Nothobranchius furzeri: one gene and its partner. The protein of the gene in region 2 binds, or shares a complex with, the protein of the main gene of each other region. Links are inferred from orthologs where the notes say so. Each region holds a gene or a part of one and is shown on either strand. Other genes may lie near its edges.

What was found.
Region 1: the proteins of ube2o (region 2) and nap1l1 are in contact, whole or in part, in a cryo-EM structure (PDB 7UN6), measured with the Homo sapiens proteins. The link is inferred for Nothobranchius furzeri from reciprocal best matches to the Homo sapiens genes UBE2O and NAP1L1. Residues at the interface, in NP_071349.3 of Homo sapiens: Ser225, Asn226, Val282, Lys283, Pro284, Val285, Lys289, Ser290, Lys291, Phe292, Arg293; in NP_001317160.1 of Homo sapiens: Arg333, Arg337, Thr343, Gly344, Glu345, Ala346, Ile347, Asp349.

Annotation. Positions count from the first base shown.
Region 1 is NC_091741.1:58,529,154-58,532,970, forward strand, and holds part of nap1l1 (nucleosome assembly protein 1-like 1), read left to right. Parts: intron 1-947; coding exon 948-1,040; intron 1,041-1,257; coding exon 1,258-1,386; intron 1,387-1,561; coding exon 1,562-1,633; intron 1,634-1,712; coding exon 1,713-1,852; intron 1,853-1,941; coding exon 1,942-2,087; intron 2,088-2,166; coding exon 2,167-2,186; intron 2,187-2,492; coding exon 2,493-2,615; intron 2,616-3,817. UniProt on the Homo sapiens protein: Histone chaperone that plays a role in the nuclear import of H2A-H2B and nucleosome assembly.
Region 2 is NC_091747.1:74,405,620-74,409,436, reverse strand, and holds part of ube2o ((E3-independent) E2 ubiquitin-conjugating enzyme), read left to right. Parts: intron 1-270; coding exon 271-330; intron 331-460; coding exon 461-571; intron 572-678; coding exon 679-776; intron 777-852; coding exon 853-916; intron 917-1,268; coding exon 1,269-1,412; intron 1,413-1,553; coding exon 1,554-1,663; intron 1,664-1,756; coding exon 1,757-1,907; intron 1,908-3,021; coding exon 3,022-3,079; intron 3,080-3,277; coding exon 3,278-3,437; intron 3,438-3,603; coding exon 3,604-3,759; intron 3,760-3,817. UniProt on the Homo sapiens protein: E2/E3 hybrid ubiquitin-protein ligase that displays both E2 and E3 ligase activities and mediates monoubiquitination of target proteins. Negatively regulates TRAF6-mediated NF-kappa-B activation independently of its E2 activity.

The DNA of each region.
Region 1 (3,817 bases), on a different chromosome or scaffold from region 2:
TCAATAATACTGAGGTTGGCCTGGGACTAAGTCCCAGTTTATTATTTCATTCCAGTGTGAATTTGAGTTTGACACCCCTGACTTAATGTTCAATTGAAATATTGATTTGTATCTCAGCATTTTAATTATTTAGGACCAGACTGAAGTGAATTTAATTGTGATTAATCGATTCAGAGCCTTCAGATTCAAAATCAAATCGATTTAGGAAATGAGCCACAATACCCAGCACGAGTTGCATGTCACGTGGCTGTTTAACCAACAACCTCTGCCTTGTTTTTCATTTGGATTTATTTATTTCATTCAAAATAAAACATATAAAAATGATTGATGTCAAGTTGTTGTTATTGTTGTTGTTAGCCTCAAGGGCCACATGCCGATTATCACTTGTAAGTCGCTTTGGACAAAAGCGTCTGCTAAATACATAAACATAAATACATAACAAAAAAATCAAATTTGAACGAAAAGGAGCAGAATAAAGAAAAACTTCTTATAATTTCTGCAACCTTTTCCAGTAGAAATAATTAATTTATATATAATTACCATTTGTCAGACACACATACACATTCATTTTAATCTTTTTCCTGTTCTAAATTCCAGTGTGATCATGATCATTGATTTAATTTACATTTTCATAATTATTTAGTACACTATTTGATACATTTTTTGAATATATTAAATGACAGTCTTTTAATTTCCCTTTTAAGGTTATTCCATAATTTAACACCAATTACAGATATATTCCACTCCTTCACTTTAGTTCTAAATCTAGCTTTTGTAAACACATCAGTTTCTTTCAGCACGTAATTACTAGTTCTCTTTTCAAATATCCCCTGAATGTTTGTTGGCAGAGTACCTAGATTGGCTTTGTACATGGTTTGTATGATATTTAAATGCACGCATCGTTTGTTTCCACTAACCTGATGATGTTCACCCGATTTCTCTTCCAGAGAAGTGAGATCGTGTCAGCAGCTTATGAGCCCACAGATGAGGAATGTGAATGGAAGGCAGATGAGGAGGAAGAGCTGACAGTAAGTAAGCAGGTACAGGTGACGTATACCTGCATGCTTTGTCTGAACTGTTTTACTTCACTTAGCTTCTGTGCAGCTTTAGGAGTTATTCCTGGAATGTTTGCAGAGCTTTTTAATTTTTTTATAAAACTGTTTTAACGGAGGCAGCGTTGATGTGTCCACGCCTTCATACTGCGACGTGAAATGTGGCCAAGCCTCGTTTTAAAAATAAATGTTCTGTCTCGCTCAGGATGAGATGAAGGAGAAGGCAAAGTTGGAGGAAGAGAAGAAGGACGAGGAGAAGGAAGACCCCAAAGGCATCCCAGAGTTCTGGTCAACGGTTTTCAAAAATGTGGACCTGCTCAGCGACATGCTGCAGGTGGGTTTAGCCACTCCAGCAGAGGAACAGAAAGTCTTGTCACAGACACCAGCTGCTGCTGACGCCTCACACAGAGAAACCAGATCTGGTTCCACCTGCTGGCAGAAGTTTGCACAAGCCTGTCCGTGTTAGCCAAAATCTTCTAAAGCTGCCCGTTTCTTTGTTCCCTCCCCAGGAACACGATGAACCCATCCTAAAACATTTACAAGATATTAAAGTAAAATTCTCCGATCCAGGACAGCCGATGGTGAGTCTTTGCCTCAGATGGACGAAACTTCAGTAGTTGGACAGCAAACTGCTTAACTGGGCTTTTGTTTTTCATTCAGAGCTTCACATTAGAGTTCCACTTTGAGCCCAATGAGTTCTTTACAAATACAGTGTTAACAAAAGTCTACAAAATGAGGTCGGAACCAGACGAAAGCGACCCGTTCTCCTTTGATGGACCAGAGATCATGAGTTGCACAGGGTGAGTCCACTGCGTCACCGTTGAGTCGTGAAGCTGTTCTCTGTAGTGCAGATGAGCTGATGCCATCTTGTCTTTTTGTTTTCCTGCAGCTGCACGATTGACTGGACAAAGGGAAAGAACGTCACATTGAAAACAATCAAGAAGAAACAAAAGCACAAGGGTCGCGGGACCGTGAGGACGGTCACCAAAACTGTCCCCAACGACTCCTTCTTTAACTTCTTCAGCCCACCGGAAGGTAAGGGTGGAGCATCCCTGTTGATGTTTACACTCATAACTCTTCTACTAATAACTTGATCCATCTTCTCTCTTCACAGTCCCAGAAAATGGAGAACTGGTGAGTTTGTGTTTTTATTGCAAAGTTTCTTTACTGGTGACGAGTTTTTCAGCCCTAAAGGTGATCAGTGTGTGACTGCAGCGCCGGTTATGGTTGCAAGTGTTTAACTTTGCCTAATTGGAAGGTTATTAAAATCAAAACTCTTGATCATCTTTAAGTTTGTGAAATCCAGAGACTGATCAAACATGTGGGTTGTGTTGGAGGGAAACCTGATCTTCATCACCAGTTTGTGGTTGTTCTACAAATGCATAGTTACCATTTGATGTTAGGTGATTAATAAAAGGTGGCTGATGTGTTTGCCTTCAGGATGAGGACTCTGAAGCGGTTCTAACAGCAGACTTTGAAATCGGCCACTTCATCCGGGAGCGCATCGTACCCAGAGCTGTGCTGTACTTCACGGGGGAGGCCATCGAGGATGACGATGACGATGTGAGTGAGGAACATCTCAACTCTGGTTTAGGGTTGTCACGGTAACCTGTGTAGCGGTAAACCCCGGTAAAAAAGTTGGCAATAATAATTCTTGTTTTTAAAAAAAAACTATATTATCTCGGTGGATTACCGTGGCTGCGGTGTAGGCGCGGTGACCCTTACCAGCCACCGTATCATCTGCTGAAGTTGCCGGCGGCACATGCGCACTTTGTTGTTTACAACCTTCTTGAAGCTAAAGCTGAAATAATGGTCAAAGGAGGAGACGGCAGCACTCAGGACATTTTTTATCCCTCAAAGAAGACAAAGTGGGAAGTACGGTCATTTTTTGGATATTTGAAGAATGCCGAGGGACAGTTGATAGAAGACGGCTATCCTGTTTGCAGCACGTGCAGAAAAAGTGTCTGTGAAAGGCAGCAACGCTTCAAATCTCATGACACATCTGCATGACCATCACCCACAACTCTACAGTCAACACAAGGCAAGCTAACGATAGCCTCCTCTCGTCTTGTCTTCCTCCGCTTATCCGGGTCCGGGTCGCGGGGGCAGCATCCCAACTAGGGAGCTCCAGGCCGTCCTCTCCCCAGCCTTGTCCACCAGCTCCTCCGGCAGGACCCCAAGGCGTTCCCGGACCAGATTGGAGATGTAACCTCTCCAACGTGTCCTGGGTCGACCCGGGGGCCTTCTGCCGGCAGGACATGCCCGAAACACCTCCCCGGGGAGGCGTCCAGGAGGCATCCTGACCAGATGCCCAAACCACCTCAACTGGCTCCTTTCGATCCGGAGGAGCAGAGGTTCTACTCCGAGTCCCTCCCGAATGTCCGAGCTCCTCACCCTATCTCTAAGGCTGAGCCCGGCCACCCTACGGAGGAAACTCATTTCGGCCGCTTGTATCCGCGATCTCGTTCTTTCGGTCATTACCCAAAGCTCATGACCATAGGTGAGGATTGGGACGTAGATCGACCGGTAAATCGAGAGCCTGGCTTTCTGGCTCAGCTCCCTCTTCCCCACGACAGATTGGCTCAGCGTCCGCATCACTGCAGACGCCGAACCAATCCGCCTGTCGATCTCCCGATCCCTCCTACCCTCACTCGTGAACAAGACCCCGAGATACTTAAACTCCTCCACTTGAGGTAGGACCCCTCCCCCGACCCGGAGGTGGCAAGCCACCCTTTTCCGGTCGAGAACCATGGTCTCAGATTTGG
Region 2 (3,817 bases):
TTTGCTCACTGTACCTGTTCCTGTCCCGGCGCCGGACCTGTTTCTTACCCGGTGCTGGCGCACACACTTCAGTGAGACGGCAGTATTGCACTAGGTTCCTACTGGGAGCCGAGTTGTTGCCAGGTTAATGTCCGTAGCTTCTGTCCTCTTCCTGCTGCCAGGAAACCACGTCCAGTTTGAGCTTCAGACCCTCGGCTGATTCGTTTGTAAGGAAATGACATCAGTGAGAAGTTAACCAACCTTCTCCGCCTTTTTGTCTTTTCTCCACAGCTGAAACTAGAAGATCGATCAATCGTCATCAGAGACATTGTGAGACGGAACAACTCGTGTGTAAGTGAAGTCTGACAGTCTTTGATGTTACTGAAAAATCACTAATCTTTCACTATGATGTCATCGATTCACATTGCTATTGATCATTGTGTGTGCGTGCGTGCGTGTGTGTGTGTGTGTTGTATTTCAGGACAACCAGTGTGGTATTGTGACCAACATTGACATTGAATGTGCCGTGAAGCTGGTGGGAACCAGCTGTGTTCTGTATCCAGTGAACAGCAGAGACCTGCAGCACATCTGGGTGAGACACACGCACGCACACACACACGCACGTGCGCGCACGCACGCACTGTCCTGCAGGCTCATGAATAACCTGGTGAAACTAACATGATCTTTATTTGTTTTTAGTCTTTTATGTACGGAGACTACATAGCCTATGACTTCTGGCTGGGCAAAGTGTACGACCTGACCAATCACATCATCCTCAAGCTGTCTAACGGAGCCAGGTGTGTGTGTGTGTGTGTGTGTGTGTCAGAGCGTTAGAGCATGCCAGGTCAGACTCACCATCTGCCCCCTGTCCAGGTGCTCCATGAGTGTGGAAGACGGTGCCAAGCTTTACGATGTCTGTCCACACGTCAGTGACTCGGTACGTAGCCTGAAGCTCCCGTCTTCTACTGACGTCCAGGTCTCTTTGGAGTACTTTCTCTGCTCTGTGGGGAGCAACCTGATTTAGGACGACGGATTATTTTCAGCTTCATGGTGGTGTAAACTGTAATTTTTCATTTAGCATCGAAAAATAAGTTTTTGTTAGAAGTTGTTTAGTTGGTTCTTCCTGGAAGGAGACCTGTTCTTCACTTCAGGGGAGAACAAAGCCGGAGATATTTGGATCTAAGATGTCGGTCTAAGGTTAAAGTGGTGCTCAGAACCATCCTTGACTATTCTGCTGTGGAACCATGAAGAGCTGGTCTGAGTTGTGTCTGTGCTGTTTTTATCTTTAGGGTCTGTTCTTTGACGAGGCGTACGGTTTTTACCCGGGCCAGGTCCTGATCGGTCCCGCCAAAGTCTTCTCTAATGTCCAGTGGCTGTCGGGGGTCAAACCCGTCCTGAGCAGGAAATGCAAGTTCAGAGTTGTGGTGGAGGAGGTAAATCCGCACTCATGTAACCTGACAACTCTTACTTTAACATACGTCTCCTTTTCCTCCCTGTTCAGCTTCCAGGTAGCGCCGGTTCTTATGTTTTTAATGCTGACTTGGAGACTTGTGCTCCCCCCCCCCCCCCCCCAGGTGCAGGTGGTGGAGTTAAAAGTCACCTGGATCACAAAGAGCTACTCCCCAAAAGGCTCAGATGGTGTTTACCCACCTCCCTCCACCATCGCGCAGGAAGACCTGCAGCGGTCAGTCCACTCGGTCTCATTCGGCATCCGCTTCATCAGAGTCGGACCTTTGTGGGTCCAGGCCAGCCTACTGAATGTGATGTTTGCTTCTAGGGTGAGACGTCTGGGCTACTACGACCACACGCAGAGGCAGCTGGGGGAAAGGGCCCTCTACATCTTTCCAGCCAAAGGCGACGTCACGCGCATCATCTGCGACGGACCTGAGGGTGCTCATGTTCCGCTGGAGGACCCCGTTGCTAGAAAGGTGCTGCTGACACATTTTAGATTTTTAAATATTTGTGTTCAAGATGTGGAACAGTCTGGGTACCGAATTCGGTACTTTTTAAGGTACCGACCGAATTCCATAGTACCGACCGAGCACCGATTCACGTCGTTTCAAACGGTGCCTCGTTTCGGTACCCGTCCTTCATAACGAGAACTTGCCTAGACAGCTGCGCATGCGCAAGAGCGTTATGTCATCGGTCGCTGCGAGCCAGTTGTAAACGGAGCAGCATGGTAGAAAGAACGCACGCTAACGCTTGGGTCCACTTCACTAAATGTGATGGGTAACTGGGTGATGATGAAACCAGCGACAACGATCTAAGTGAGACATCCTCATCTTAATCTGCTCCGGTAGGTAAATAAAATGTTTAAGATAGCGTTAGCTTGATATGTTAGCTTCCGTTTCACTAATGGTGCGTTCGCTTTCTCCTCGGAACTCCGATTTTTCGACTAGAACATGAACGCGCTCTAAAGTTTGGCTTCACTTTACTAAATGCGACGGGTGATTGGGTGAAGATGAAACCAGCGACAACGATCTAAGTGTGAGGCATCATCGTTTTAATCTGCTCCAGCAGTTAAATAAACTGTTTAAGATAACGTTAGCTTGATATGTTAGCTTCCATTGCCACCATTGTTATCAGCTAATGGTGCGTTCGCTTTCTCCTCGGAAATTCTAACTTCCCAGTAGGAAAAATCAAATGAAAAAAGACGGCAAAAGGAATGAAGATACACAGTAAATTTAGTTCACAGTAAAGATGTTTGCTTCAGTTTAATTATCAGCTTGTAAAACTACAAGGACAATGTTAAAATACAAACAGTTGAATGTTATTTATCGTGATATTTATCAAATATGGTTATATATTGAGAAAAATATATATTTAATTATAAAAGAGAATTAAAATGATAAACACTCAAAAGTATCTAAAATTGGTACCGTTAAGTACCGGTATCGATTCCTAGGTACCTGGAATTAGTACCGGATCGATTCAAATGTCAAAGGTACCCATCCCTAGGAACAGAAGCACGTCGATGATTTAACAATGAGACCTGGGTCCGTTTGGGTTTACAGGCTAATTTACTCTTTGTGTTTTCTGCAGCTTAAAAGGATGTTCAAGAAGGATTCTGGGAAGAAGACAGAAAACGCCGACTCAGAAGGTGTTTACAATCAGATCATGAAAGCGCTGTAGTTTTTGTTTTGTCCTCCTAACACCAGCAGCTCGTTCCTCACACACACTCGGCCGTTACAGAGGGGTGTGTGTGAAAGTTTAGCTGCAGAGTAGAGACACGTTTCCTGTCCTTATGCTGACTTTAGTGTTTGTATTTCCTTCTAATTTAAATTTTAACTGGATGAAGCAAATTCAGCAGAGCACAAGTCTGATCAGACCGACTCGTCTCAGCCCAACGGCCCGGTGAGCCCCGCTCAGAACCCGCCGGACTCTCAGAACACCAGTGATGCCGCGCACGGGGAGCAGGACGCCGATGACGAGGCTGGAGAGGACACGGACGACACCAGGTCTGTGGGGACCACTTTAAATATGGAGTCCAGTTTAGTCTGGTTTAAAAGATCTGAGCATAGGAAGCTCCTAACGTGGGGGGTGTGACCTTTTCTAACATTAAACATCAGTTATAAAGAAAAACGATGTGTGTGTGTGTGTGTGTGTGTCTGAATCTTTCTGCAGCTCTCTGACGTCCTCAGCCAGCTCCACGGCATCCTCTCAGAGCGGCGGTCTGGGAACAAACCGCAAAAAGAGCATCCCGCTCTCCATCCGCAACCTCAAGAGGAAACACAAGAAGAAGAGGACCAAGTTCTCCCGCGAGTTCAAGCCCGGAGACCGGTGCGTTCCCTCTTGGAGAGTAGTCACTTTTTAAAACATGGTAGCATGAAGAATAACT